Ovis aries: one gene and its partner. The protein of the gene in region 2 purifies or fractionates together with the protein of the main gene of each other region. This does not show direct contact. Links are inferred from orthologs where the notes say so. Each region holds a gene or a part of one and is shown on either strand. Other genes may lie near its edges.

The links.
Region 1: the proteins of GGH (region 2) and CANX purify together in Homo sapiens (affinity purification with mass spectrometry; 3 studies listed by BioGRID and IntAct, with this or other methods). This does not show direct contact. The link is inferred for Ovis aries from reciprocal best matches to the Homo sapiens genes GGH and CANX.

Annotation. Positions count from the first base shown.
Region 1 is NC_056058.1:1,386,724-1,402,405, forward strand, and holds part of CANX (calnexin), read right to left. Parts: intron 8,070-15,682; 5' UTR 8,067-8,069; coding exon 7,893-8,066; intron 7,632-7,892; coding exon 7,558-7,631; intron 7,133-7,557; coding exon 7,074-7,132; intron 6,606-7,073; coding exon 6,464-6,605; intron 6,056-6,463; coding exon 5,974-6,055; intron 5,533-5,973; coding exon 5,340-5,532; intron 3,965-5,339; coding exon 3,775-3,964; intron 1,534-3,774; coding exon 1,420-1,533; intron 1,004-1,419; coding exon 847-1,003; intron 1-846. UniProt on the Homo sapiens protein: Calcium-binding protein that interacts with newly synthesized monoglucosylated glycoproteins in the endoplasmic reticulum. It may act in assisting protein assembly and/or in the retention within the ER of unassembled protein subunits.
Region 2 is NC_056062.1:41,008,221-41,024,512, reverse strand, and holds the start of GGH (gamma-glutamyl hydrolase), read left to right. Parts: upstream 1-6,145; 5' UTR 6,146-6,242; coding exon 6,243-6,351; intron 6,352-8,361; coding exon 8,362-8,476; intron 8,477-11,184; coding exon 11,185-11,235; intron 11,236-16,292. UniProt on the Homo sapiens protein: Hydrolyzes the polyglutamate sidechains of pteroylpolyglutamates. Progressively removes gamma-glutamyl residues from pteroylpoly-gamma-glutamate to yield pteroyl-alpha-glutamate (folic acid) and free glutamate.

The DNA of each region.
Region 1 (15,682 bases), on a different chromosome or scaffold from region 2:
GCAGGAGTGGGAGCACAGACCAGTACAGACTTCCTCAGTGGTGAAGTGCACACGGTCTTCAGTCAGATACTTCACCTCAGACAACTGCCCAGAGAAATGATTGCCACGCATACTTAGACTAGTACAAGAAAAATCACTGCAGCAAGGATTCTAAACGCAAAAATGGAAATTCACCTAAATGGCCGTCAACAAAACAGCTAAGGGGCAACTTTTCTTACTGCCTGCACAACTAAAAATACACTTAAAAACAGAAAAGCATACACAGTCCATATGTAGAGATAGAACTTACATTTCGAAGTAAGCTGTAAAGTAGAAATTAGTGAGTTTAAATAATCTGACTAGAACAGAAACAGAAGTGAGACCAGGGTCGGAACTGTTACAGAGCCACAGTAAACTTGAAGCTTTAAGGTATCACCACCGGTATAATCATCTCATTTGCGCTTCAGTCTTTTTATAGCTGAAGATACCGAGGTCAAGCAATGGGCTAACTCACGGTCAGGAAACCAACTTTCACCACAGTCCCCTATCCACGCTACCAGAGACTGCCAGTTTGGATATTTATGGCTGGAGCACCCCTGCCACATGGTAGGAGGGTGTCCGAAACACAAGTTTTCATTTTTGTTTGTTTTTAAGTTATAATGCAATTATGAAAGCTTGTCTTTCCACTTCCTAGGTTTATCTCTTCAACACAACACATAAGTTCTCTCTTAATTCCGAAGTTTACTTTGTTTTTAATTCAATTCTTTGAATATAGAGGATCAATCTGTGGCAGGCTCACTACACACTCGAGAACTATCTGAACACAAAGAGCTCAATGAAGCAGCTCAACCATCAGGAGGTACCAACCTGGTAGTTAGGGTTGTCAATCATGGGGGGCTTCCATCTGCCCTTGTAGTTAGGGTTGTCAATCATGGGTCTCTGCCAGACACCGCACCCAGGGGCCGACTCACACTTAGGGTTGGCAATCTGAGGAGCCTCCCATTCTCCATCCATATCTTCATCCCTATATAGACATAAACAAACTGCAAGTGGATTCTGTGAAGCAGGACTATGAAAAGCTACCCCAGGGCTTCCCTAAAATCCTGCAGGAATATTCAGCGGCGTACTACAAAGCATCATTTTGTTTCTGCATTTCCAGTAACAAAGGATTTTCTGTGACAAGATACATTAAAAAAGAGATGAAAATGTAATCAATTTAGTTTGTTGAGCTCTACACTTAAGTTTGAGCAGTTGAATACTGGAGTGGGTTGCCATTTCCTTCTCCAGGAGACCTTCCTGACTCAGGGATTGAACCCAGGTCTCCCACACTGCAGGCAGATGCTTTACTGTCTGGGCCCCCGGGGAAGCCCTGGCTGTATTAAGTACTAACTTTCCCTTCAGTAAAGAGCAGGCAATGTTAAAGTTAACCAATGCTCATACCAGTCCTCCGGCCTCTCTGCGTCTGGGTCAGGCACATACTCAGGCTCATCATCTAACCAGCCTTCGGGCTTCGTAGCTTCTTCATCTGGAATCTTAGCAGGGGCATCCTCATCCCTAAGCACAAAAGAAAAAGACAATTAACAATAACACTGGCCACAGAACTACAATGATTACAGTGTGGTCCCACTTTGTGAAATAGCTCCTCCTAGAAATATCTAAAATCATATGCAAGGGTCTAGTATGCAGAATATATAGAGAACTCTTACGATTCAATAATAAAAGACAATTTGATTTAAAAACCAGTAGAGGATTTGAATAAACATTTCTTCAGATATACAAATGCCCAAAAAGCACATGAAAATATGTTCTACATCACTAGTCATCATTTTGAATGCAAATCAAAACCACAATAAGATACCACTTCATAACCAGTAGGATGACCATAATGAAAAAGGACTGATAAAACTAAGTATTGGCAAGGATATGGAAAAAAATGAAACCCTCCTAAATTGCTTGTAAGAAAGCAAAATGGTGCAGCTACCTTGGAAAACAGTTTGGCAGTCCCTCACAAAGTTAAACATAGTTACCATGTGACCTAACAATTACACTCCTAGGAATATACCCAAAAGAAATGAAAACGTATGTTCAACCCAAAACCATTCATTTGAATGTTTATAGCAGTGTTATTCACAACCATAGCCCAAAAAGGGAAACAACCTAAATGTCAATTAAACAAGGAATCGATAAATAAAATGTGGTATCACCCACAGGATGGAATATTATTCAGTCACAAAAAGAAAGTATCAATACAAGGTTCCACATGGATGAGTCTTAGAGTCTTAAAACTATTATGCTAAGCCAAAGAAGCTAGACACCAAAGACCACATATCTTACTAATCCTATATTCAGAATGGTCAAATCCGTAGGACAGAAAGTCGATTACTGGTTGCCAGGGGCTGGTGGAAGGGAGAAATAGGGAGAAGTAACTGCTTCATGGGTATGGGCTTCTTTTTGGGTGATAAAAATGTTTTGGAATTACAGTGGTAATCGCCGCACAACACTATGAATATACTAAACCAGTAAACTGTACATTTTAAAAGGGTGGATTTTAGCATGTGAATTATGACTTTAACAGTCACCCTTCTAAGTTTATCAAGAAGTACCTAATTTCAAAGCTTTCTGCAGTTACTGTAAGACAGTGCCACTTTAGCTGGTAACCAAGGACATCTCCTATTCTTGGTCAGGGTTATGCTTGTTTTAGAACTATGCTAGTTTAAAATTGTGTTAGGACTAAAACTTGTCTATCATTCACCTGACCTTTTAAGCTGAACATTTACTTCTCCTCCACAACAAAACAGCTAGTTAAGGAATACAATACTGAACAAGGTGAGCCCAAATCTAATGTTCACCAAACATATAAATAAACTCACTCTTTACACCAGTGCAGCAGGTAAGTATCAACTAGAATTTCCCTAAGAAACCTAAGAGGATGCTTTTACAAATGGAAAATCAGTTTTATATTTCTCTTTGTTCACTTTCTAACATTTCCACAAGTCACCATACCAAGAGTTCAAACAGGGTCATGCACAAGAGGACAACCCACCGGCTTCCATTTCTGACCACTCTCCAATTTGCATCCTGCATAAAAGACCACTCAATTGCCCACGTGTGTGCTAAGCTCGCTCCTCTTCCTCTACTTTTGCACATGATATTCTCCTTCAACCAGGAAATACCACTTCCCATCTTTCCCAGTTAGTTAGCTCCTGCCCACTTTCAGTTCCCAATTTAAAACACTAAAGCCTGGTATACTTGGTGCTCTGGTCACCATGGAAACACATATTAGATCATTCACCATATGCACGCCAACTTCGTTGCCTGTCTCACAACTACGGTGCGGGCTGTGCAGGCAGCGGCGTGCCTGTAGCTTTGTATTCCAGCGCCCAACGGAGCGCAAAGATCTGCTGAGTACTGCTTAATAGGAGAAAGGCTATTTTTCAAATTAAAATTTTAGGACTCCAGCTTTAAATTGAATTATAGAAGCACGGGAAAGGCCAGGCCAAAAAATGTGAAGTTCCGTCGCAAACCAACTGTGCTGCCACAGGCAAGCCCTATCATGAGTTTCAGCATTTAGTAGCTTGTGAAATGGCGTGAGGCAGTCCAGATGACCACGACGGCCCTGGGGGTCACCATGCGGTCACTACTATTTTCAGCTGTAGTAGTCTGCACTTTTCCTAACATTTACACTGCATCACAGATTGTACAAATTATCAGACTTCAACCATCATTAGATTGCTTAAGCCACATGGAATGTATGAAACGCTCCACTGCATTCAAAAACAGGTACCAAAGACTCACCAGTCATCTGGTTTGACAGCATCAGGATCTGGTATTTTTGGTCTTTCATCCCAATCTTCAGGCTTCCGGTCTTCTGGGTCCTCAATTTCACGTGAAGGATTTACAGGAGGAGTCATGTCATTTAACAGATTCCCACTGTTCACAACAGATTGGTCCACTAATATTTCAAAACTATTATCTGGATTCAAGACTGAAAAAAACCAAATGCAATTTTTGTAAGTTAATTAGCCACTCATTCCCAAGTTTTCTTTACCACAAAAGATCGTATTTCGAACAGAAGGCAGAAGCATGGAGTAATGACTTTGGCTATTACGAGTCGGAACACGGTCACGGAGGCTCAGGCAAGTTTGTACTCTTTTCCTTATCTGTCAATCATAAACATTAGTTCTTCAGGTTTTTAGAAATTAAACAACAGGTAAAATTTTAAAAACAAAATATTCCATGAACATGGAATATGAACACAAAAACATCAAAACACCAAAAGTATGCAAAGTAACTGCAATATTGGTCTGTCACAAATGGTTACACACAGGTCAACAGGCAAATAAGTTTATTTATTATAACCATCTCCCAGTAGAAAAGACCCATTTCCTCATTTTCTGAGTTGGTATTACCACTATCTATGTTGCCAACAGTTCCAATCACACAAACCTTTTATTTATTAAACCACAAATCTACTCAGGCTGTACTTTTGGACTCCAGTGAAGAATGCAAATGTAGCTTTAAATCTATAAAGGTATCTTAAGTGGAATTATGCTAAAGCCTGGATCCTACGACTAAATGTCTAATAGGCAAGTGACTAGATCACAGCACATCCAGAATACTGTGGAAGCTAACAGAGTAAGTACTATGCTGCTGTCCTAAATGATAATGAAGGTGACCAATGTTATCAATGAAACATTCTCACAGAAAATTCTCACATTTTGTTAAGAGAAGAAATAAAACATATTTAACCTTTAATATAAAATTATGTGTTTACACATATATACATGTTTACTCACATATGGCCAAATACGTATCACAATGTCGATATTTCAGATACTTTGTCTTTTTTCCTTTCAAATTTCTATGCTGAATATATATACTTTCGTTATAAAGAAAAAAAGGTATTGCATTCTTCAGGAAAAGAAGCATGACTACATGTGATCTCAAAGCAGCAGAAAAAGCCTTATGAATATAAAAAACCCCATTCCAATGTCTGAATAATTATACTCAACTGTCTAGGTGTTGGAGCATCCAAACAAGTTCAACTAGAAGACACATTTCTATTGTATGTCCTGTTACTTAACATTCTATCAATAAGAAAATAAACAAAGGCAGGAGATGAGTGGAGATCAAGCAAAGAATCCTTTTACAGGACATAAAAGCTTTTCTTAAAATCTGTTTCTCAATTCAACCTAAGGAAGAAACATTTCTTTTAGTGCTGAGAAACTAAGTTCTTCTCACCACTATGATATTAAGTCAATAGAGATTGTTATTTGCAGGTCATTTTCATTATAATCTTTAGAAGGATAATAAATGGGCAGTGCCAAAACCCCCTCAAATTAATTAATAGTTTTTCTTACTTAATGTATAAAGATGTGTTTTCTTATCAGTAAAATAGGTCTTCAGATCTGCATCTGGCCTCTTAGCATGCTTTTCTTCATATACACCTGTTTTGGGGTTTTTGTGGCGGAAGATGAAGTGCAATTTATAGTCCTCTCCACATTTATCTGGACCAAACATAATCGTATAGGGGGTCTTGTCGTGGAACTGATCCTTCAGAAACAGAAACGAATTAAGTAACTCAAAGTGTTGAAAAGCAACTTTTCAAAAGTATGATATATCCTCTTACAAATTCCCAAATAGTATCCTATTTATTCATTTATGAGATTTGTACAGATACCACTGAAAATAACCAGAAATTTCACTGAGAATGATTAAAAGCATAAAATAATGCATTTATCTAGAGAGTTACTGCTTCTTTTATAAAGTTTGCTAAAACTAAAAATTACATAGGACAGAAACTAAGAAACAGCTTCAAAATTTACATTTCAAATAAAAAGCACAGAAATGTCAATGTCGATATTTTCAACTTCCAAGATATTTCAACAGCAGGAAAGAAGACCTTTATTTTCACAGGTCTTAGAAAATTTTCTTTCGTTCTCTCTGAAATTCTTAAAAGGTAATTGGGTGGCCACATAAACAGAAAGCACTTACCAGATTGAGCTCTGGGGTTTTGGAAAGTAGTTTCACATAGGCACCGCCACATTCTATCCCATTTTGGAAATTAACTTCATACCTAATTTTAGGGGGGAAAAAAAGCAGAAATTTATTTCCCCTTTCCCTCATTTTGATCACATGCTTTATACAGGTTATATGTAAAAATTCCATCTTCTACTGTTATATCCACCCAATCCTCCAAAATTAAATAAGTAAAAAAAAACAAACCAAAAAAACCGTAATGCAGATTCCCAATAAATACTTTCTGTAAAATCCAGAAGTTCATTTGGCATCAGGAGGAAAAATAGCTGATTTATTTTAAAATAATTTACTGGGCATGAAAAAAAATGTTACGATATGCTGAAACACATCCTAAAATTTCTATTGCAACATGTAATTATTTTCATTATTTTTTTACATAGAATAACAGTTTTAAACAGGTATCATTCTTCCCAGAAAGCTTCTATCAACCAAGTGTTTTACTTACTGAACAATGAGAGGCTTGGTATCGAAGATGAAGGGCTTGTTCAGCTTAGTAGAGATAGCATGGTGTTTGGCCCGAGACATCAACACAAGTCCTTTATCGCCTGGAAGTTTCGTTTCCTTCATTTCATCTACCTCCCATTTTCCTGCAAGACAACAAAAAATAGTTCCATTCTCTAACTACACCTCTGAAGATCCTTTAATGGTAATAAATAAAACTCCAAGTTGTATAAATTCATCACACAGGCAAATGTTTAACCTGTTCCATTTACCTCTAAGAGCTGGCCTATTAATATTAAACACACATAACTAATAAATATTAGGATATAGTTTTTAAAAACCCAAAGCACATGCATTTTACCAATGCCTAGAAAAGACCTTCCATGTTCAAAATACAGCACCATGGGTAATAAATTATCTTTCTACTTTATAGTATAAAAATTAAAATTAAACAGGTCTAACCCTATAAAATATAATGGGACACACAAAGATAGCAAAGTTCCAAGGAATAACCTTAAAATGTATACATACTACTTTTAAACTAGTCTTGAGATACTATGGAAGCATACTATATCTCAATCTGCTGTTATATCTAAGTCAAATGCAACTCTCACCATCATATTTGGCAATTTCGTCATCAGTGTCATCTTTCTTGGCTTTGGATAAAATCCACCTGTAATTAAGACATCCCCCCAAATTAAGAATCAAATTACAGTTGGCCTGTAAAAAGAAACAATGTAAATAATAATAAAAACAGGGACAATTCAGCTCTTCTTAGCCCACCTAATCACTCTACTTTCAACTTTTAAATATGTCTTTCAAGTAGTGATAATATATTATACTCAAATCAAAAATCGGTTAACAAAAAGCACCAAACTCATGGAATAATTTCACTTTTTAAGACTCAAAGAGAAAAAAAGATTTTCCTCAAAGAACAAAATACAAGGTGAAGGGGAAATAAATGGAAGCAAGAACCACATGTTCTAAAGATTTTTCCTAAATGGGACTGAAAATATAAAATACTATCTAAAAAGGAATCTACTATTCTAGTTACATGATGTTTGCCTCTAAGATTTTATCCCCCTACAAAACACTTACCCTGACAGAGTTCCTCTGTCAAAAGAATCAGCAAAATACACTTCCCCAGTTGGAACTGGAGCTTTGTAGGTGACCTGTGTTAAACATAAAAATGAATTAAGAATTAAAATATTCTCAGTAGGATCTATTCTCTTGGTTTGCTTTCACACTTGCATGACTGGCCCTCAAATTCAACCCATATAATTTATCTTTGGGACAATATAACAAAGGTTGACAGGGAGAGCAATAAGTATTTTAGCAAATTTTGCTTTCCCTTTGGTAAGGATCCAAAATGTACCTTCATCTTTTGATCATCTCAAGAGGCAAAACAAACAGATTCAAAGATCATGTCAAACCTTTGGCGATGGCGGACTGCTGGCATCTGGCTTCGGTTTCGAGTCTTCTACCTCTTCAATGACGTCATCAAGGTCATCCTCAATGTCAATCACATCATCGTCATGTCCATCATGAGCTTGAACAAGAGCAGTTCCAAGGACCAGTAACATACACAGCAACCACTTCCCTTCCATGATCTAAGTATTTATTAAAAAAAAATACAGTTAATTGTATCACCTCCTTTCAAAAATTTTGAACCCTTATTTAAAATTAAGGCTTTCAAATCAGAGCTGAAAGGAACTTTACTGTATTTCATTTTATAGATAAAGAAAGTGAACTCAGAATAACAGGTTTTCCTAAAATCAGTTAGTTAAAAGATTCAATTTCAAGAAAAAATTCAAACTATAACTCAAACAATTGTCCCCATATAGAATATCATGTTGGCTACACAGACCTAGGGTGTTCAGATATAATTTCAAAATAACTTCTTGCATTTGTAAAGAGCTTTACAATAGACAAAGCCCCTTTTACAGAATAGTTTAAACGAGTTAAAACATTACAATGAAATAACAGAGGAGTTAACTTGCCTCACATTAAAGACTTAATTTAGATTAGATGCTGCTGTTTTTGTCCAAAGATCAAGAAGAATAGGTATGTTTTTTAATTAGTGTTTTAAGGGACTTCCAGGGAACCCTGTGCAAAGCAGGGGACTTGAGTTTGATCCATGGCTGGGGAACTAAGATCCTCCATGCAACAGAGCAACTAAGCCCAGAGCAAACAGGCCACAATTCGAGACTCCATGCTCAACAAGGTCCTGCACTAAAACCAGACCCCGCAGGATGCAAAGATCCCACCTGTCAGCAACTAAGACCCAATAAGCCAAGTAAATAAATAATACATCAGTTTTAAGATTCAACAAAAAAATATATTAAACCATGCTGCTGCTGCTAAGTCACTTCAGTCGTGTCCGACTCTGTGCAACCCCAAAGACGGCAGCCCACCAGGCTCTGCCGTCTCTGGGATTCTCCAGGCAAGAACACTGGAGTGGGGTGCCATTTTCTTCTCCAGTGGATGAAAGTGAAAAATGAAAGAGAAGTCGCTCAGTCATGTCCGACTCTGTGCCACCCCATGGACTGCAGCCCACCAGGCTCCTCCGTCCATGGGAGTTTCCAGGCAAGAGTACTGGAGTGGGGCGCCATTGCCTTCTCCGAAAAACAAAAAAATATATTAAACCATAGACCAACTATTTTTATCTCTTTTTTCTAAGCCTTCAAGTGTCTTACATATCATATCTGACTGTCATGGATGGTAGTCAATCCTCTCTCCAAAACCACAGATCTAAAGATACAAAAACTGAGCCACACGGATGCACAAAATGATTCGGCAGTAGGTTGTACAGAATTTTAATTCTGCAAGATGAAGAGTTCTCGAGACGGATGGAGGTGAAAGCTGTACAACAATATGAACATACTCAATGCCACTGAACTTGATGGTTAAGATGGTAAATCTTACAAGTATTTTCACTGCTATAAAAAAGATTTTATTAAAATAAAATAGCTTAATTTTTTGGTCACTGGTAAATCAACTTATTCTAATGCTGAATTTAACGCCTAATTCCTTATAAATGCTATAATCCTTTAAAGTGATTGATTATATAGAACTAGACTTTCATGTATCATTTGGCGGCATTTCCTTTATTTATAAAGCGTGGGTACTGTTTTCACAAAATGAAAGAAAGTAAGGCTCACTGGACTCCTAGGCAGCACAGAAAATAAAGAAATAAAAGATTTTTATAAAAATAAAAACTCACTCATCATCTTTCCTAGGACTGGTATTAGAGTTTAAAAACTCTCAATGTCAACATTCTGCTATGGCTTCTTATATACCAAGAAATGCCAGTAATTTCAATTTTTCACTGTTAAGGCTTCTATTCTCTACCACCGAAATCTACAATGGCGTAGCAATATCGCTTTGATTTACAACTACACTGGATTCTCTGAAACTAAACAGGCTGATTCAACCCTTTTATCTACATCAACTGTATACAACCTAAGAAGTCCTCACAGAAATAATGCTATAAATGGCAGTTGGGTTCCCAGGGATACTCTATAAATCAAATTAGCCCACAAAATAGTTAAGTCAAAAAGGCAAATGTGATAAGCCCAGTAGCAATTAAGTGAACCACAAAGCCAGTGAATTAATAAGGACTGTGCACTGATGTTAAAACACTGCTGCTCAAGGAAAAGCTAATCGGGGAGATGAACTAACTACTTAACTTTCAAAAATGGGATTCAGGTAGGGTTCAGTGAGGGAGAGTACAGCTGCAGAACAGGAAGACTGATTTTTTTCCCTGTATCTTTTAATTTACTGATATACTGCTGTTATGTTATGGGCTTGCAGATGGCTCAGTGGTAAAGAACTGGTCTGCCAATGAAGGAGACCCACATTTCGGGAAGATCCGCTGGAGAAGGAAATGGTAACCCACTCCAGTATTCTTGCCTGGGAAATCCTATGGAAGGACCTGGCAGGCTACAGTCCATGGGGTTGTAAAAGATTTGGTCACAAGTGAGCAACTGAGCGCACACACACATACAACATATACCGCTGTTACAGGCTTAACTGTGTCTCCTACCTCAAATTTGTATGTTGAAACTTGAACTCCCAACATAACTATATTTAGAGATAGGACCTTTAAGTAATTAAGGTTAAAAGCAGTCATAAGGTTGGGGCCCTAACTGGTGTCTATAGTAAGAGGAAGAGAACCAGGAATCCACATGCACAGAGGTTAAGTCCAACGAGGACACAAGATGGTGGCCCTCCGCAAGCTGAGGAGGAAGGCCACATCAGAAGCCAACTCTGCCAACGCCTCGATCACAGACTTCCAGACTGTAAGAAAACACTTTTCTGTTGTTTAAGCTGCCCGGCCTGTGGTGCTGTTGTGGCAGTCCAAGCAGACTAACACAATGCTCCTTGGGTTGAGTATAATGTCACAAGACAGCTCTTCCTAACTTGAGCGTGCCTCAGGGGGCTTTTTAAAACAGACTGCTGATTGAGTGTGTGCGTGCTGGGCCTTTTCCTTCCTATCAGGTTCCAGGGGATGCAAAGGTTGCTACCCTGAGAACCACTGACTAGGGTTTATGAATCATCAACTTGTGCTTTGTGTTCCAGTTTATAAAAGCACTTTCACAGTTACATTATTTTGCAAACCTCCCTTGAGGTATTACTAAGATGTAGTGAAATGAAAACAACCCAATCATTTACTCAATATCACAACCAATAAGTGAGAGTCAAAGACTTCAGATCTCCTATTTCTATTACACTAGACAAAACGTGGCTGCATCCCGAACACGTGTGAGAGGATAGAAAGGCTAGTCAGGAAGGGTCCTGAAGGGAGTGGGCTGGAACGGAGGATTCAGGCAGGGTTTAGTGAGTGAGCAGCGTGACTGCGGAACAGGTTGCTGGACGAGGAACCCAGGAAAGGTGGCATCTGCATGAGGGAGGCAGAATAAAAGCAGAAGTTGTCCGGCAGCATAAGGCTACCATCCCAGTCATGGACAGGAAACGCACTTCTCTCCACCACCATTTCCCTACAGCCTGAGTTTCAGGACCTGGTTTTTCAGGTTTGAGAAGTCTCAGGCACATATCTGTTAACTTTCACATTACCTAGAGGGTTGTTAAAGCCGTGGAGGAACCACCATTGCCAACCCATGGCAAGTCAGTTCTCACAGCCGTGTGTTTACGAGCCTAAGCCACTGCTAGTTTTACACATGCTGCTTCAATATTTGCCAAAGCAACTTGCCAGTACTCCCAAGAAAACGCTGAACAGGTCTAGTTTCAAGAGCCACTATTAAGCCAGCCCAAACATTCCAAATTTTGTTAAAGACTTGGTCACACTTAGAAATAATCCAAAACAATATATTTTAAGGTGATCTTAATTCTCCACTTCATTAATGAAAACCCAGTATTACCAAGTAACAAAACCCACCCTCATTTCAGTCCTCCTACACACACATATCAAAAAGGATGTTGCACTATTATGATTTCTATAAGAAAACACAGGAGAAATTGTAAGCAATCTTGGGTTTGACAAAGAGTTTCCCAATACATCAAAAGCTAGACACACAAAAGAAAAAAATTGGTTGAACTTACTTTAACTCTATGAAAGAAACTTGAGAATTAAAAAACAAATCAAGCTAGGAGAAAATATTTGCAAGATAAATATCTAATAAAGAAATGGATTCCAAAATGTACAAAGAACACAAACGCAACCAGTAAGAAAAACCACCCAATTACAAACTGGGCAAAGCATCTAAACAGACACCTCACCAAACAAGATGTTTAGACGGCATATGAAAAGATGAGACACCATCTGCCACTGCTCAGTCGCTCCAGTCGTGTCCAGCTCTTTGCAACCCCATGGACTGTAGCCCACTGGGCTCCTCTGTCCATGGGACTCTCCTACTGGAGTGGGTTGCCATGCCCTTCCCCAGGAGATCTTCCTGACTCAGGGATCGAACCCAGGTCTCCTGTAGCTGCTGCACTGCAGGCAGATTCTTTACCGCTGAGCCACTGGGGAAGCTCTTTCATCTGCTGTTAGGTAACTGCAAACCATGAGATACTACAATACCCCTATTAGAATGCCTAAGATCCAAAACACTAGGAAGGATGTGAAGTAACAGGAACTCATTTCACTGCTGGTGAAAATCTAAAATTTCAGGCACTCTGGAACATACTCTGGCAATTTCTTACAAAGCTAACCATAGACTTACTATATGATTTGTCAATCATGTTCCCAAGTTCTTGCCCAACAGATCTGAAGGCTTACGACTGGACAAAAACCGTCACACAAATGCTTATAACAGCTTTATCCATAACTCAAAACCTGAAGAAACCAAAACATTTTTCAGTAGGGGAATGAGTAAACAAACTGTAGTATACCCATTCGATGAAATATTGTTCAGAAATTACAAGATGAGCTACCTAAACTGAATCACTTTGCTGTACAGCAGAAATTATCACAACATTGTAACCAAACTATAAACTATAATTTAAAAAAAAAGAGCTATTAAGCCCAAAAGAGACTTAAATCTTTAGTGGATACTGCTGAGAGAAGGCTAACTGAGTCTGAAAAGGCCAATGCTATGTAATTCCAATTAGATCACATTCTGAAGAAGGCCGAACCCTAGATAGCAAAAGAAAAAAAAGAAAAACCAGAGGTTTAGAGGCAGCGGTCGGGTTGAATAGGTAAGCACAGGGGGCTATTCTAGGCAGAGAAACTGTCCTGTATACTGTTGTTGTTATGGATGACGGTACTACATATTTTTCAAATCCCATAAAACAGCACAAAGAATGGATCTTGATGTACGGAAATTATAAACCATCATTTAAGAGGCTGAGTGACCCAAGGATACACACAGGATGTGGCGAAACCACCCCACTGTATCACAAACCCATGAAGCAACCTCACTCAGAGAGCTGGCGGGAAAAGACTTTTCCCTAAGCAGCTCTGGCAATCAGCGAAGTCTGCAAAACCAGACTATGCAAAAGTACTGCTCAAGCTGAACTGACTCGCATGAGCATCCAGGGTGACCATCTGCATACTGCTATACACACATATCAGGAAAATTAAGTAAATGGATGGTGTATGGCAGGGGCCACTTTCAATGCTGAGCGTGGAAATTTTACGGACAAGCAAGACAAAGAGGCTAAGATAATCCACATGGTAACGGGCGAGAGTTAAGAGACTACAATATGAACTCATGTCTACCTTACTATACAGAGGATTACACACAAAACATTTATAGATATGTGCATATGAACCAGTTAGTATACACACATATATTTTCTTGCTCTATCAGTTAAGAGGGCATACAAGAAACTACTACACCTCAGTAGCAATTCAATAAATACCCTAGCATCAAGGATTTTGGTTTCCAATATCATCTCCAATAAAAAGGAAACTGGGTTCCTTGGCTGATTCTAGGATTAGGGCAGCAAACATATAAGACAAGCCTGGAACATCCTGTACCGCCAGAAAGTGACGAAGTGTTCAAAACAAAAACGCCCACAAGGATGGGGGGCTACATCAAAGGAACAAAAGAGCGAGCAATGGCCAAAGCTGGAACAATACAAGCAATAAATAAGTCGTACTAGATTATATTCTAAAGCACAAAATAAATGCCCATGAATCTACACATTACATTACTGAATAAATAAATGAGACTAATCAAACAAAAGAGGCAAACTTCCCAGGCAGAAATATTCCAAGTAACAGATACAGACAGTCCACTGTCAAGGAGGAGAAACATAACTCCCTACCCTTACAAGTGGGCTACACACAGTGCTCCCCTTCCTGTATGAGAACAGGAAAAGCTGGAATTTACAGTGGAGAAACCCAGCAAACACTACTTCAGCCAGCTGCTCAAGGTAAAGACCAGAAGTGATGTCATGCTGTCAGCATGCCCTTGATACAACGGGGTGAAAACAGTACTTCAGCGCTCGCTTCGGCAGCACGTTAGTAAGACTGGAACATACAGAGGAAATTAACGCGGCTCCTGCGGAAGGACGACACGCAAATTCCTGAAGTGTTTTTCGAATGGGTAAGAAAGCTGTGGTACATATACACAATGGAGTATTACTCAGCCATTAAAAAGAATACATTTGAAGAAGATCCGCTGGAGAAGGAAATGGCAATCCACTCCAGTACTACTGCCTGGAAAATCCTACGGACAGAGGAGCCTGATAAGTTACAGTCCATGGGGTCGCAAAGAGTCGGACACGACTGAGCGACTTCACTTTCGCTTTCTAATGAGGTGGATGAAACTGGAGCCTATTATAAGGAGTGAAGGAAGTCAGAAAGAAAAACACCAATACAGTATTCTAACGCATATATATGGAATCTGGAAAGGTGGTAACAATAACCCTGTATGTGAGACAGCAAAAGAGACCCAGATGTATAGAACAGTCTTTTGGACTCTGTGGGAAAAGGAGCGGGTGGGATGATTTGGGAGAATGGCATTGAAACATGTATAATATCATGTAAGAAACGAACCGCCAGTCCAGGTTGATGCATGATACAGGATGCCCCGGGCTGGTGCATTGGGATGACCCGGAGGGATGGTATGGGGAGGGAGGAAGGAGGGGGTTCAGGATGGGGAACACGTGCACACCTGTGGCGGATTCATGCAAAACCAATACAATATTGTAAAGTAATTAGCCTTCAATAAATAAATTTATATTTTTTAAAAAAAGAAAAAAAAACAACAACAGTACTTTAACCTCTGTGGTCTTCTTCCCCAAAATCCATACTCCCTCTAATCATGAGAAAAACATCAGCGAAATCCCAACACAGGGACTGCTGTCCTGACCAGTAGCCCTCAAATGTCAAGAACATCAAAAACAAAGAAAATCTAAAAAACTGTCACAGCCAAGAGCAGTTTAAGGAGACAAGATGACTAAATGTAATACGGTACCATGGAACATGAGCAGCAAGTGAAAACAAAGGAAATCTGAATTAAATATGGACTTCGGTAATTACCATGATCTGGTCATTAATTATAATAAATGTACTACACTAACACTGTTAATCATGGTAGAAATGATTCTATAGATTTAAAACGATTCTGTAAAAAATTCATTTTTTAAAAAAGGGATGTTCCGCTGCTGCTGCTGCTAAGTCGCATCCGACTCTGTGCGACCCCATAGACAGCAGCCCACCAGGCTCCCCCGTCCCTGGGATTCTACAGACGAGAACACTGGAGTGGGTTGCCATTTCCATCTCCAATGCGTGAAAGTGAAAAGTGAAAGTGAA
Region 2 (16,292 bases):
AATATTAGCTTTGTGAAAGACTATGTAAAGGCTGTTTTTCTTTATAAGAAAATTATTCTAATCAGATGAGCTGGTACTTATGATTCTTTGTATATACATCTGTAAAAAAATCAAATGATTATGAATGTTCTTTAGAGAACGTCTTTGTGATTTAGCATTGGGAAGCTAACTGTACATTATAATTTTTATTTAAAAAATTAGATCATGCTTGTTTTCTAAAAAATGATAAAACCTTCTTTATAAAATCATAAATTTAGAATTGTTTAATTAAAAATAACAGAAGAATAAAACCATTTAAAAAGTGTAAATAATAGCAACAACAAAAAGCTCTAGTTTACCCAACTTTTATTCTTACAAGGTTTACATCACAAAGTTCCACTTCATTCACATTTTGGGAACTTAAACCACTTTCTTCTGACTCTATAAAGGAATGATTACTTTAGCACAATAGATAGTATTTTTAAATGTCTTTTAATTATTATTCATTGGTGATGTTATTAATAGTAAATAGAATTAAAGTAAGTCAATCAACAGAAGTACATTTCATGATAGGATTTTGAATTTTTTATGAAATGCAGCAATTCACTGAGGAACATTAAAAGAACAATGTAAAATGAACAGGCGGTTTTATAAGGTGGCAAGATAAGTCACTATTGAATTCTCTATTATTTTACAGTAATTGCACCAGAAGTGCCTTTTAAAAGACTAACATGTGCTCATTGTTACTGAACTGCAGGATAATGTATTTGCTCTAATATTGTTCAAAACAAAATAAAGATTTTTCACACTATAGCTGTTGGTTTTCCATTTTTAAATAAGAATACTAGGTATTCTTTTTCAAAAACTGCTTTTCCTTATAGAAAAGCTTAAGAAAAAAGTATCACCATCCATCTAGTTGTCCTCTTTATACATTTCAATTGCAGACTGGTTTTCCCCGCTGCTCAGTTCAATACCACTTTCCCTGGTGGTGTTATGCTTAAAGTGACCATAGATTAATTTCTTAAAATTACGCAAAGCATACTTTCAGAACTTAAAACTTAAGTGAGAAAAGCCAGAGTATGTCACTTTATCAGATAATTTGATTTGGAAACTATCAGCCCAGATCATGATTTCAGATTATCAATATATTTCCCTTACAGAAATAACACAGAAGTCCTAGAGCAAGTAATAGTTTTGCTACCCACCTAAATCAAGCCAGCAGCTCACAAAACTGGTCAAACATACAAACTTCAAACTCAGCAAACTAGTAAGGTGATGTCTGAAATACTTCCTGGTCTCAGGTGTTGAATTTTCCCCACTTGGATGCTATGGGAGAATTATGAGTTACAGAGATGAAACAGGATATGATGGCAGTAAAGTGAGGACTGGCAGCGGGACCAACCTCACCCCCACACTCAGGTTCTGGTGGTCAAGGGTACTCACTTCCTAACTTTCTCCCTCTCCTACAGCCAGCACTTGATTGACTCCTTGCCTCTTCTCTGTCCAAGTCAATCGTATCAGTCTAATAAATATAAACAAACCAGAGCAGACCAAGAGATCTGGTTAAAAAAAAAAAAAGTTGGTGAATTAAAATACCATCTTCAGCTGGACCTATTTTGTTAAAGGTAAAAGGAGTGGGGGGGAGAGGGATGTCCCATACAACCAAACGTTCATGACCTTATTCCAGAATTCAGGTCTAAGCAAGTGGGTGTGCCTGGCTTGAGCTTGCATGCTAAATTGCTCAGGCTCCTCTGTCCATGGGATTCTCCAGGCAAGAATACTGTGGGTTGCCATTTCCTCCTCCGGTGGATCTTCCCAACCCAGGGATTAAACCTGCATCTCCTGCATTGGTAGGTGATTCTTTATCACTGAGACACCGGGAAATTCCTAGGAGATACAAACCTCCACTTAGAAAATAAATAAGACATAGAGATGTCATATATAATATTTTATTGTAATAAATTTGTATGGAGTCAGATGGTTACTAGATGTATTGTGGTGAACATTTCCTAAGGTATGCAAATATCAAATCACTTTGATCACATTTAACATACTCTTGTACATCAACTGTATTTCAATATAAAATAAATAAAGGCCTTTTCTTCTAACTCCAGGATCAGGGTCATCTATGGGTCTATTTTTCTCTTTCTTATTAGATTACTATTATATATTTCTGTTTCTTCATATTTTTAATAATATTTTATGTTGGACATTGTGTTTAGTTGTAGAGTCTCCAGGTAATATCTTCCATCAGCAACAGCTCTTCCTTTTGTCAGGTATCACGAAAGCCTAGTAAATCCATCAGGTCTTGAGCTGGGTTGTAGATTTGAGGATTCAGGCTATCTCAGGTTCATTCCCATTCTTCATGATTGATCCACTTGGGTTTTTTGGTGTCTTGGATGTTCTCCTTTTTTCTTAACAATTCCTTCAACAGATGTTTTAGTGGTGGCAACTGTGTGTATGTGGGGGTGAGGTGAGGTCACTGCCATGACTTATTTCTCTTCATTTCCTCCCTTATCTCCTTCTTTCCCTTCACTGTCCTCTCTTGAAGGAATACTACTTGCTTGTCAAAGTGGCTGCTTCGTCCTCAGAAGCAATACTTATCTGAAGTTGCCATCTCTGGCTTCTTCCTGACAGCCAATACTAACCCTCCAAGAGGGCTTCCCAGGTGTAGCGCTTCAGCCTTAAAGAACCCACCTGCCAATGCAGGAGCTGCAGGAGACACAGGTTCCATCCACAGGTTCCTCCCTGGAGGAGGAAATGGCAACTCGCTCCACTATTCTTGTCTGCAGAATCCCCGTGGACAGAGGAGCCTGGCAGGCTACATTCATACAGTTGCACAGAGTCAGACACTACTGAGCTTCTGAGCACAGGCACACACAACCTTCCAAGACCTAGGCTGTGCTCAGTATCCTGGTATTTCATGTTTGACATTTTCTTTCAGGGCTTGATTTTGCCTATGCTTTGTCTAAATTACTTGCTCCTCTTTCCTCGTTTTCAAAGAGGAAGCCTTGCATCTTCTCCTCTCAGCATCGGAGTCTTGCAGCAGTAGAGAAAACTTGCTGGAGTTTGCTACTTAGCAGTCTTCCTGTTAATTTGATGTTTGTGGTACCCTCCATCTCCAAGTATCGTGAAAGGCATAAATCATGTGTAACTTTAAACTCCTTGTATATCTCATGGTTTTTCTTAAGATCTGTAGACAGATTCTGGCTTAGGCAGTTGACATAAGCCTCTGGACACCAGCATAACTTATTTGTTATTTCTTATTGATATAAAATTAACTCTGTTGATGTGCCATACGCCAAGCTGCTTCAGTCATGTCCATCTCTTGGCGACATTATGGACGGTAGCCCACCAGGCTCCTCTCTCCACAGGACTCTCCAGGCAAGAATAATGCAATGGGTTGCCATTTCCGCCTCCAGGGGATCATCCTGACCTAGGGATCGAACCTGCATCTCTTACAGCTCCTACATTGGCAGGCGGTTTCTTTACCATTAGCACCACCAACTCTGTTGATAACCAGCTCCAATTTATTAATTTTCATGCATTCTAAATATCAATTAATTATACAATTTATTCATTCCTTTATTGATAATGATTTAAGTTGCACTTAATATTTCACTACTACAAGAGAATGCTACAAAGAACATATTTGTATATGTTTATTTATTCACACATGTAGGCATTTCTCTAGGGCAAATACTAAGTCTAAAAAGTGCTGTGTTATAGAATATGTGCACCTTCACTTTTACCACATATTGCCTAATTGCTCCCAAAAACTGTTGTAATACATCTCTACCAGCAGTGTTAAGAGGATTCTTATTTTTCTACACCCTTATTATCAAAGGTTCACTTTTTTACACTTCTGTCATTCTGATGGATGAGACATACTATCTTTTTTTAATCTGCATTTCCCTGATGACTAGTGAACCTTTGTCTTTTCATATTCTTTTCCTAGTTTTCCATTAGGTTGTTATTCGTTCTTGTTCATTTTAGTTCCTTGTGCATGCTAGAAATAAACATCTTTGAAATTCTGTATTTTGTAAATATATCTTCCAAATTTGTGCCTTATCTTTAATTCATTTAGCTAAACAGAAGTTTTAAAATTATAACATCATAAAAAAAATAAAATTATAACATCATGAAATCTACCATTTCTTCCACTAACATGTCATTTTTTTAATTATAGTTTTTTATTTTTTAAATTTTAAAATCTTTAATTCTTACATGCATTCCCAAACATGACCCCCCCCCCCCCCCCACCTCCCTCCCCACAACATCTCTCTGGGTCATCCCTATGCACCAGCCCCAAGCATGCTGCACCCTGCGTCAGACATAGACTGGCGATTCAATTCTTACATGATAGTATACATAACATGTCATTTTTAAAAAATATGTTTTCTGAAATTCCACCAACGTCCTGGACACACAGTCCTATATCTTCTCATCAAAGTATAACAGTTTGTCTTTTACATTTGTATCTTTACTCACCTAGAGTTTATTTTTGTATATAATGAAAGGTAATACTTTTTTCCTATGTGGACAGACAATTGCTCCAGCACAACAACTTCATACTGGTACAAAGTTTCCTCATCTGTTCATTTGAGTTCAAAACAAACCGAATATGTAGGGCCTTTCACAAACACATCCATTCAGCTTATAGTTCACCGCGCCCTTCCAGAGCAGCATCATTATCTTTTTTTTTTAATATTATATATATTTTATTATACCTGCTTATGCCATTTTTGTGTTTATATCATTACTCATTTTATCAGAAGTTTCCCCACACTCCTTCCTTCCATCCATCATTTAATAAACACATGTTGAGCACCTCTTATATGTTAGACACAGATGTATGGAGGTGGATGTAAAATAAAATAATCCTTGAGTTCAAGAAGTTCTTAGTATAGTTCTGTTAATACTTTACTAGACTTTTCATGAAAACTGAACCATTGGTTTGCAATTTAGAACTTATGTCAACCAATTGTATAGGGAAGCTTAATCTATTTCCAATGAAACCCCATATTTTCCCCCTAAAACACTGAACATTTTTACTTCTGAAGCAAAACTACCAGAGCAGCATTATTATCTTAACAAAGCATACGACATATTGCATTCGCTCTTCTCGAAATATTTTCACAAATCCTGTTCTCTCTTTTCCTTACAAAATTGCAAACTTCTGAGACGAAAAAACAAGGCATTGCCCAATTAATCTTCGCATCCTCTATATTTGGCATTGACTTGATTATCAAATACTCTTCAATTTTATTCTGATTTTCACCCTTATAGGTGGGAACTCCCAGTCAGTATAAGCCATATCTTTATATTTAGGTTTTCACACAGAAAGAAAAAGCTTACCTTTCATCTACTAGCCCACCCAAACAAGTTCAGTGTTTCTAAATCTTTTTTCAAATTTTAAACAGAAACCTCAAAAAAAAAACTCTTAGTGATTAGAAACCCAAGTGACCCTTTGTGCCCTGTTGTAGAACAGTCTGCATCAACATTAAAGTTAGAAGGCACCGTGTGCGGGTCTGGCCTGGACTTGTTTTTGTCTTGATGCCAGGAGTGGGCCCCTCCTTGACCCAGTTCTGAGCTGGGGCGATGCTCGGGGGAGTGTTCACATCCACGGGGCTTTCCTCATCTTCTCTTCGTTTGGTCCAGAAGCCTCGACCTGCACGCAAATGGCAGGATGCGAAAACTACCTTCCAAGTCACCGACCATCCCTGATGGAAAGCGGGGGTGTCCAACTCCGCCGCCAGCATTCCTCAACACGACTTTGGGCTGGAGCAACCGATGGCGCAAAGTTCTCAGGCGACTTCTAGAACCTCTCGCCAGCCTCCCCCGCTGCCTGGTTACCAATCAGGTCAGGCTGCAATCCAGCGCTCCCCATTCGGCCGCTGGACCCGGCGCCCCAGTTAGTTCCGGGTGACTTCAGGTCACGTCGAGGAAACAGCTGAAAGGGCGGGCTCGGGTACACGAATCCCACCGCACCTTCCTGAGCCCCCGCAGACGCCGAGGGGCGGGCTGGGGGCCCGGCGTCAGGGCGGCTGAGGCGCGATGGGGTAGGCGCGGCCTCTGCGTTCCCGGAGTCGCGCGCCCCTGCGGCCCCAGCGCACATGCGCCCGGACGGCTTTCCCATAGGCCCCCGCGGCGGAGCACCGCCCCCGCCCGACGCCCTCGAGCGGCCAGGAGACGGCAGCTGCCTCACCCGGCGGCTCGCCGGTAGAAGAGCCTTTGAAAGGCGGCGGGAGGCAGCGAGCGCAATGGCGAGACTGGGTCACCTGCTGAGCGTGTTGGGTCTGGTTCTGTGCGGGGCGACGGGCCTCGGTCTGAGCGCCCCTCCCTCGCCCACCCCCAAGAAGCCCATCATCGGTAAGGAGGCGGCTGGGGCTGGGGCTGGGGCTGGTGAGCCGGGAGCGCGCCCTGGGCGCTTCCAGCTGCTGCGCTAAGGCAGGTGCATCCGGTCCTGGAAACGTTAGGGTTAGTACGTGTGCCTTCCTAGCCCAGGGATCAAACCATCATTGAGATCCTGCTGAAATATACCTAGCTAATGCTCGTTGATTTCCCGCAAATCCTTGGCTCTTAAAATTGGAAGGGAGGAGCATGCACCGTGAAGAATCCTGAGGATATGGCAGCCCACTCCAGTGTTCTTGCTTGGAGAACCCCAGGGACGGCGGAGCCTGGTGGGCTGCTATCTGTGGGGTCGCACAGAGGTCGGACACGACTGAAGCGACTTAGCAGCAGCAGCAGCAGCAGCAGCAGCAGCAGCAGCAGCAGCAGCAGCAGTAATTTCTGCGGAGTAGGCAATGGCAACCCACTTCAGTACTCTTGCCTGGAAAATCCCAGGGACGGGGGAGCCTGGTGGGCTGCCGTCTATGGGGTCTCACAGAGTCGGACACGACTGAAGCGACTTAGCAGCAGCAGCAGGAACTTCTGCTAACTAAACCTTCTGTATGCATGCATTATCTTTATTAAAATTTCACTGGTTGAGGGCTCATTTCGAGGAACAATGCAAAATCGAATTGACTAGATAATTGAGAAATTATGGTATACCTGGCCTTTGTCGTCTTTGGCAGCGGAGGGCAGCCGTGGCTCCTGTGATCCTAGTAGCAATTCTGTTTTATGTTAAAGTAAAACAGTCATTTTTCTTTTTCAACACACTTATTTTCTATAAAGGGAGTAACATCAATTTGCATCGCCAGAACAGACATTTAAGACTGGGGCAAGGGAAAGCAACCCTGGAGAAATCAGCTCGTATTTGAAATGTGCAAAAAAGTAATTTGTGGGCGGACAACTAGAATTGATTTCATTTTAGCTGGTAGTATTGTTAGGCCTTTCATTTTGTTTCTTTCCCCCCCTTTATTTCCCACGAAGATGGGCACTGTATCCTGTAACTAAATAGAAAGTAATTGAGCATTTTTTCATGGATATTGGTAGTGTCCATTTTCATATGTGTTGTGTATCAATATTTGAAACTTGAGATGCATTATTTCAAAGGGAGTTAACTCAAAATGTAATCCTATGTAGGCTTACTGGGTGGCTCAGTGATAAAGAATCTGCCTGCCAATACAGGAGACGCAGGAGATTCAAATTTTATCTCTGGGTCAAGAAGATCCCCTGGAGGAGAAAATGGCAACCCACTCCAGATTCTTGCCTGAAGAATCCCATGGACAGAGGAGCCTGGCAGGCTACAGTCCATGGAGTGGCAAAGAGTCAGACATGACTTAGCTACTGAGCACATTGCAAAACAAAACTACACAGGATGTTTTATATTTTGATTACAATGTTTGTTCCATGTTATCTGGTAAAATATATGTGCATTTTACTATATGTAATCTATACCTCAGTAAATCTGAGTAAAGTTCCTTGAAAAGCAAAACAAGGGATGCAGAGAGAACTTTTAAGGGGCTATTAGAATAATCCAGGTTGGGGGGGTAGGCAGGATGTTTTGTTGCTTGGATTAAGATTGTTTTGATGGTGTTGGAGAAACATGCATAGAGAATTTTTTCACTCTTTTGCTTTGTTGTCAAGGAAACCATGTGCCTGTGTGTGTGTGTGTGTGTGTGTGTTTAGGGAGGGGCCTTCTGCTGGATTTAAGGATTGGTACTCTGACATAGATTCTAGCTTGTGCCAAAGAACCTGGCTTTGGGGGCTTATTTGGCCTCCCCGATGTGGCAAGAGAAGAAGCTACTTACAATTCAAATAAGCCTCCACTACTCCTTTTCCAAATCCTATAGATATCCTTTCAGGAGAAGCTTTATGTGTAATTCTGTGAATTAAATGAGTGAAGAAGTGATATTTCTAGGGTGATATGTTTCAGTTTCTGAGCAGGAAAAGAAGGATATTACTTGAAACAGAAACTTTATTTTTTTTGTAATTTAGGAATATTAATGCAAAAGTGCCATAATAAGAACATGAGAGCCCTGGGAAAATACTACATTGCTGCATCCTACGTGAAGTTTCTAGAGTCAGCTGGTGCAAGAGTGGTACCAGTAAGGTACGATGCAATAGTTTTTACACTGAATTAAAAAAAACTGCAACTTCTGTTTCCTCTCTAAAGTTATCTTTTATCTCTAAAATGAATGCTTTCTCTCTTACGATTGCATTATTCAAGCACATTAATGTTATACCTGGTTTTTGCCCCAAATCTAATGCTTAGAGTGTCTCATTAAGTTGTTCAAAGTGTGAAGCTGCATCTTTCTATTATATCATTAGAGCTGTGTCATGTATATTAGATAGAGAATGAAATGATAAGTTCCTTTACTCCAGAAAAGGTGATCCTCATCAGATATTACAAAAGCAATGGAGTAAAAGCACTTCTAGATTCACCAGCTTCATTCCATAATATTAGTGTAAAGAAACATGTAAGGAATCAAGGAATATTCTAGAAGAGGACTTTTCAGAGACCTTCCCACCCCACTTTAGAAGTTTGGAGATGACTAATACAGCACTGTTGCTTCGATATTAATTGCAGGTATTGCGATTTTAAAGGACCTACATTATTTTTGTGGTGTAATGATCTAAGGAACAATCAAATGACTCGTGTCATATTCATGACATGACATGATAAATGATTCATGTCATTTTGATTTGGAAAGACTTGAATTTTTTTTTTTTTTACAAAAGCCTTGTTGCTGTATTGATATTGTCTTATCACCCCAAAATAGTGTATTTGAGGGTCTTCTAGCACACTCACCTAATCTATTGTAAGTGGTTTCACACATAAAACACAACTGTTTGCTCAGGAAAACCTGTTATTGTAAGTAATTTCACATTAAAAAAATGGTAACGAAAGTAAAACATTAATACTCAAAATGCAAATACAGTTTTGAGAATAGTACCACAAAATGGTTTTATCTTTAGATGAACATTTGCTTTTGACATTAGTCTTCAGTTTTTTCATAGCAATCTAATTTTTTCAAATGAAATCTTCTTTGGAACTTAACTAACAGCAGAGTTTTAGAGCTGAGGTGGAGGTTCTGGACAGTCCTCCAGACAACTTGCAAAGTTTTGATCCTGGAAGCTTTTTCTGCAAGCTGTTCATTTAGAAAATAGGTTTAATAACATGGGTGGAAGGTGGGAGAGACGAAAGACAGGTAGGCCAGTTCAGAGATGTGACTGGGTTAGGTGTGAAGCAAGGAAGGCTTGGCTTAGAGCAGTGGTTGTAGAATTGCTAGGTAAATGTTTTTTAAAAAAATTAATAAGACTCAATGACTACTAGGATGAAAGGGCACAGGGAGGAATAGACAAGAATGGCAGAGGTTTTGAAATGGGAAATGTTGAAACTGATGACTTGCAGAATACTGAGATTCATGACTGAGATGCTGAAAACATGGCATACAGGTTAATTTCCAGCTTGGATTCCCAAAGTTCATTTTAAGGTATATTGCTCAGAATTAGAATCATGTGATTCTATAAAAGCAGTATAATACGTGGCAGCTAAATTCCCAGAGCAACCTGCAAAGGATTCCCTAATGTAGAATGAGTCGTGATCACACTGATGATGTTGGTTGGGTTTATTTCTGAATTTCGGATGCTGGGGACTGACTGCTGCAGTTCAGAAGGAAAGAGGAGGTGGACAGGAGACCTCAGCAGAATCCTTGAGCAGGCGAAGGTGCCCTTCAGGGGAAGGGCCCTTCAGAGGAAGCAGGTGCCCTTCCTCCTGTCTGGCCTTCACCCTCTGGTGCCCGGTGCACTCAGGTTATTATAATCTCCTGCCCTAGAACTGGAGGGACCCAGAAGGTGTCCACCTCCTGAGAGGTGGCATGTGGCAGCCCACTGGCACTTTTGGTCTAAAAATCTGTTTCATTCGTAGTGTTTAAGGTATGTACAAATCAGGAGACTTCATAAAAGTCTATATTTCTGGCCTTTATTTTTTTTTAACACCGTTTTCTGGAGCTAATTTTGAATAGAGCAAGAGCTGTCCATTGGCAGCAGTGCCTGTTGCTCCTTTTCATGCTCCGAAGCTGTCATTTGCCATCATTACTAGACGTATGCTGTTTTCTTTAAAGAGAACTTATTGAGGGGGCCTTGCGTTTTAAGAAAGTCTGACAACATGCAAATGTCATCTGTGTTCAAAGAACGTGCCCTGTCTGTTTTGCCTTCACGGTCTCTGAGACACCTATGTTTGTGACCCCCGTCCCCACCTCACAGTTAAGCCCCTTAATAGTGATGCACTGGGCCCCCAAATTCAGGCATGGACAACATGGGAACCGTTTTTTAGAATGAGTGAAATGACCAGAGCCCGGCTGCAAGGCTACCTGGCAGGAGTCCCTGGAGAGCAGCTGATTCATCTCAGTCCATTTGAGCTTCTGATGGTGGTGGTTGCCTATCCTGATTTAAATGTCCGTGGGGAAGATTCTGTGTCCCGACTGGTCCCCTCTTTGTTGACATAATCTGGGGAGATTCACCTGGCAGAACGCTGGGACTCAGCGGTTTCCCTGGTGTCCCCACAGCTAAGACTCCATGCTCCCAGTGCAGGGGGTCTAGGTTCCATCCCCGGTCAGGGAGCTAGATCTGATACGCTGCAACTAAAATCTGATGCAGCCAAATAAATAAATAAATAAATAAATAAATAAATAAATTTTTTTTAGAAAAGAATTACTTTCACCTGGCTTTTAAATAGTAATGTGGTAGCTTTATTTAGAGACTTTCTTTCTTCAGTTTTGGGAATGGATGTTTTATAACTATTTTTATCATTTTCAGGCTTGATCTTAAAAATGAAGAGTATGAAAAGCTTTTCAAATCTATTAATGGGTAAGTTGCCAACATTGCTTTAAGACAATGTATGAGGTCTAAGTGATGCAAAAGAGTACATATGAATACAATACATGTTTCTAGGTAACTATTTTTCAGTGGTATAAATGTTAGTTTTCTGAGTTATTTTATAGAAATTATTTTGTTGAGTGATGTAAAAATCCTGCAGAGAGAAGGCAGGTTAAAAAATAAATGTTATATAGTAGATAACATATTTTTTTTTAATGTACGACATAATTTTTATTCTTTTAATGCTTGTTTTAAAGGCTTTGAAGCCACTTTGGAGGCCATGACATACTGCTTGCTTAGGGGATTTATGTCTTAAGACTTAAGATATTAATTGGTTATCTTTCAGACGGTGATTTGAATAGAATTTGGTAAAAAGTTTTATATCCTCTAGCTTCATCACAAAAGATATGATTGCTTAGCTCACAGAAAAAAATCATATGAAAAAATGTGAGACTTATTCATAATTAAAGGAAAGCTAATTATAACAATTAAAAACCACCAAGTTGGCAGAAAGCAGAAAATGTGCTAATGTGCTAAGGTGAGGTGAGGGTATGAGGAAACAGTGTTCTTATACTTTATTTGTGGGAGTTGTTGATGCAAATAAGATACAAACAATCTACATTAAGGAACAGAAGAAAGTTTTCTTCAAGCCATACTGAGGACTATAGCCCAGGAAGAAAGTGCTTTGGAAAAACACCATGTTATATCTTGACAGATCAAAGAATGTACGTCAAACATGACAGGGTTACATTCCTTCCAGGTTTCAACAAAGACGTGGCCAGTGAGTCAGCATGACCTTAATGTCTGGCAAGGGAACCTTGGAAGGACCAGGTCTTGGAAGGACCACTAGCATGGGCGTCATAGGAAGGGCAGCCATTTGTCCCTATCTTCAGAGTGGACTTTTCTTTAACTTCTAGATAATGCATTCTTTTCTTAATGGTTAAAGCAGAGGTACAGTACATGTTTGATGGACCATAGACAGACTGTTCTTATTAGCATAAAGTTCCAGTCAAATCATGTGTAAGTCAGAATGACTTCCCCATACTAGCTCATGCTAGCTCATAGTAGGTGAAAATTTCTTCTATCAGGGTGGAAGTTAGATAGTCTTTTGGGGGCAGTTTTATAATCTTTTGAAATTAAAAATGCACATACCATGTGACACAGGAAATGCTTCAGAAGGAATTTTAGTTTACAAATATAATCCTCTCCTTTAACATATACACACTACTATATGTGAAATAGGGAACCAACGAGGGTCTGCTGTACAGCCGAGGTATCATACTCAATATTTTATAATAACCTATAAGGGAAAAGAATCTGGAAAAGAAAAGCTAGTCACCTTGCTGTACATCTGAAACTAACACAGCATTGAAACTTGACTATATTTCAATAAAAAGTAAAGCGAAAAAGGTATAGTCCTGTCTTATATGATGACCTGGGCCCAAACGTATGTACTGTTGTATTGTTTGAAATACCCCTGATTTGGAATCCATCCACCCACCCATCAGTTTGGAACTGGGTTAAAAAATAAACTATACTCATATGATAGAATATGGTTCAAAATGAGGGTGTCTGTAGATGATGCCCTGAATCACTGTTGTAACCTGAATAGTGTGGTATTGTTACACGAAACAAGCAGGGTGCACAGAGGTGTGTGTAGTGTACTCCCATTTGATTTTGTTTTTGAAGTTGGGGTGAGGAGACATGCATAATATATACCAGGTTAACACAGCAAATCTTAATGGTGGTTATTTCTGCTTGGGAGTGGAATAGAGGGAGTCTATCTTACTGTAAAGCTTTTATTAAAAGAACTTTTAAAAATTAAAAATAATTGTTCATTTTTTAAAAAAAGCTATGTTCAAAGCTATCATTTGCATTCAGTTCAGTTTAGATCAATAAGTATTTAAAATCAGTTCAATTTAGTGAAATATTTACAATGCCTGTTATGTGCAGTGTACTTTTTTTTTTCTTTTTTTTAAAGTTGTGATTGAGTTTATTTTTTTTAAATTTTTTTTAATTTTAAAATCTTTAATTCTTACATGCGTTCCCAAACATGAACCCCCCCTCCCACCTCCCCTCCCCATAACATCTCTCTGGGTCATCTCCATGCACCAGCCCCAAGCATGCTGTATCCTGCGTCAGACATAGACTGGCGATTCAATTCTTACATGATAGTATACATGTTAGAATGCCATTCTCCCAAATCATCCCACCCTCTCCCTCTCCCTCTAAGTCCAAAAGTCCGTTATACACATCTGTGTCTTTTTGCTGTCTTGCATACAGGGTCGTCATTGCCATCATTCTAAATTCCATATATATGTGTTAGTATACTGTATTGGTGTTTTTCTTTCTGGCTTACTTCACTCTGTATAATCGGCTCCAGTTTCATCCATCTCATCAGAACTGATTCAAATGAATTCTTTTTAATGGCTGAGTAATACTCCATTGTGTATATGTACCACAGCTTTCTTATCCATTCATCTGCTGATGGACATCTAGGTTGTTTCCATGTCCTGGCTATTATAAACAGTGCTGCGATGAACATTGGGGTACATGTGTCTCTTTCAATTCTGGTTTCCTCGGTGTGTATGCCCAGCAGTGGGATTGCTGGGTCATAAGGCAGTTCTATTTGCAATTTTTTAAGGAATCTCCACACTGTTCTCCATAGTGGCTGTACTAGTTTGCATTCCCACCAACCGTGTAGGAGGGTTCCCTTTTCTCCACACCCTCTCCAGCATTTATTGCTTGCAGATTTTTGGATCGCAGCCATTCTGACTGGTGTGAAGTGGTACCTCATTGTGATCTTGATTTGCATTTCTCTGATAATGAGTGAAGTTGAGCATCTTTTCATGTGTTTGTTAGCCATCCGTATGTCTTCTTTGGAGAAATGTCTATTTAGTTCTTTGGCCCATTTTTTGATTGGGTCGTTTATTTTCTGGAATTGAGCTGCATAAGTTGCTTGTATATTTTTGAGATTAGTTGTTCGTCAGTTGCTTCATTTGCTATGATTTTCTCCCATTCAGAAGGCTGTCTTTTCACCTTGCTTATATTTTCCTTTGTTGTGCAGAAGCTTTTAATTTTAATTAGATCCCATTTGTTTATTTTTGCTTTTATTTCCAGAATTCTGGGAGGTGGATCATAGAGGATCCTGCTGTGATTTATGTCTGAGAGTGTTTTGCCTATGTTCTCCTCTAGGAGTTTTATAGTTTCTGGTCTTACTTTAGATCTTTAATCCATTTTGAGTTTATTTTTGTGTGCGGTGTTAGAAAGTGGTCTAGTTTCATTCTTTTACAAGTGGTTGACCAGTTTTCCCAGCACCACTTGTTAAAGAGATTGTCTTTACTCCATTGTATATTCTTGCCTCCTTTGTCAAAGATAAGGTGTCCATATGTGTGTGGATTTATCTCTGGGCTTTCTATTTTGTTCCATTGATCTATATGTCTGTCTTTGTGCCAGTACCATACTGTTTTGATGACTGTGGCTTTGTAGTAGAGCCTGAAGTCAGGCAAGTTGATTCCTCCAGTTCCATTCTTCTTTCTCAAGATTGCTTTGGCAATTCGAGGTTTTTGTATTTCCATACAAATCTTAAAATTATTTGTTCTAGTTCTGTGAAAAATATGGCTGGTAGCTTGATAGGGATTGCGTTGAATTTGTAAATTGCTTTGGGTAGTATACTCATTTTCACTATATTGATTCTTCTGATCCATGAACATGGTATATTTCTCCATCTATTAGTGTCCTCTTTGATTTCTTTCATCAGTGTTTTACAGTTTTCTATATATAGGTCTTTAGTTTCTTTAGGTAGATATATTCCTAAGTATTTTATTCTTTTCATTGCAATGGTGAATGGAATTGTTTCCTTAATTTCTTTTTCTACTTTCTCATTATTAGTGTATAGGAATGCAAGGGATTTCTGTGTGTTGATTTTATATCCTGCAACTTTACTGTATTCATTGATGAGCTCTAGTGATTTTCTGGTGGAGTCTTTAGGGTTTTCCATGTAGAGGATCATGTCATCTGCAAACAGTGAGAGTTTTACTTCTTCTTTTCCAATTTGGATTCCTTTTATTTCTTTTTCTACTCTGATTGCTGTGGCCAAAACTTCCAGAACTATGTTGAATAGTAGCGGTGAAAGTGGGCACCCTTGTCTTGTTCCTGACTTTAGGGGAAATGCTTTCAATTTTTCACCATTGAGGATAATGTTTGCTGTGGGTTTGTCATATATAGCTTTTATTATGTTGAGTTATGTTCCTTCTATTCCTGCTTTCTGGAGAGTTTTTATCATAAATGGATGCTGAATTTTGTCAAAGGCCTTCTCTGCATCTATTGAGATAATCATATGGTTTTTATTTTTCAATTTGTTAATGTGGTATATTACATTGATTGATTTGCGGATATTGAAGAATCCTTGCATCCCTGGGATAAAGCCCACTTAGTCATGGTGTATGATCTTTTTAATGTGTTGTTGGATTCTGATTGCTAGAATTTTGTTGAGAATTTTGGCATCTATGTTCATCAGTGATATTGGCCTGTAGTTTTCTTTTTTTGTGACATCTTTGTCAGGTTTTGGTATTAGGGTGATGGTGGCCTCATAGAATGAGTTTGGAAGTTTACCTTCCTCTGCAATTTTCTGGAAGAGTTTGAGTAGGATAGGTGTTAGCTCTTCTCGAAATTTTTGGTAGAATTCAGCTGTGAAGCCATCTGTACCTGGGCTTTTGTTTGCTGGAAGATTTCTGATTAGTTTCAATTTCCGTGCTTGTGATGTGTCTGTTAAGATTTTCTACTTCTTCCTGGTTCAGTTTTGGAAAATTGTACTTTTCTAAGAATTCATCCATTTCTTCCACGTTGTCCATTTTATTGGCATACAACTGCTGATAGTAGTCTCTTATGATCCTTTGTATTTCTGTGTTGTCTGTTGTGATCTCTCCATTTTCATTTCTAATTTTATTGATTTGATTTTTCTCTCTTTGCTTCTTGATGAGTCTGGCTAATGGTTTGTCAATTTTATTTATCCTTTCAAAGAACCAGCTTTTGGCTTTGTTGATTTT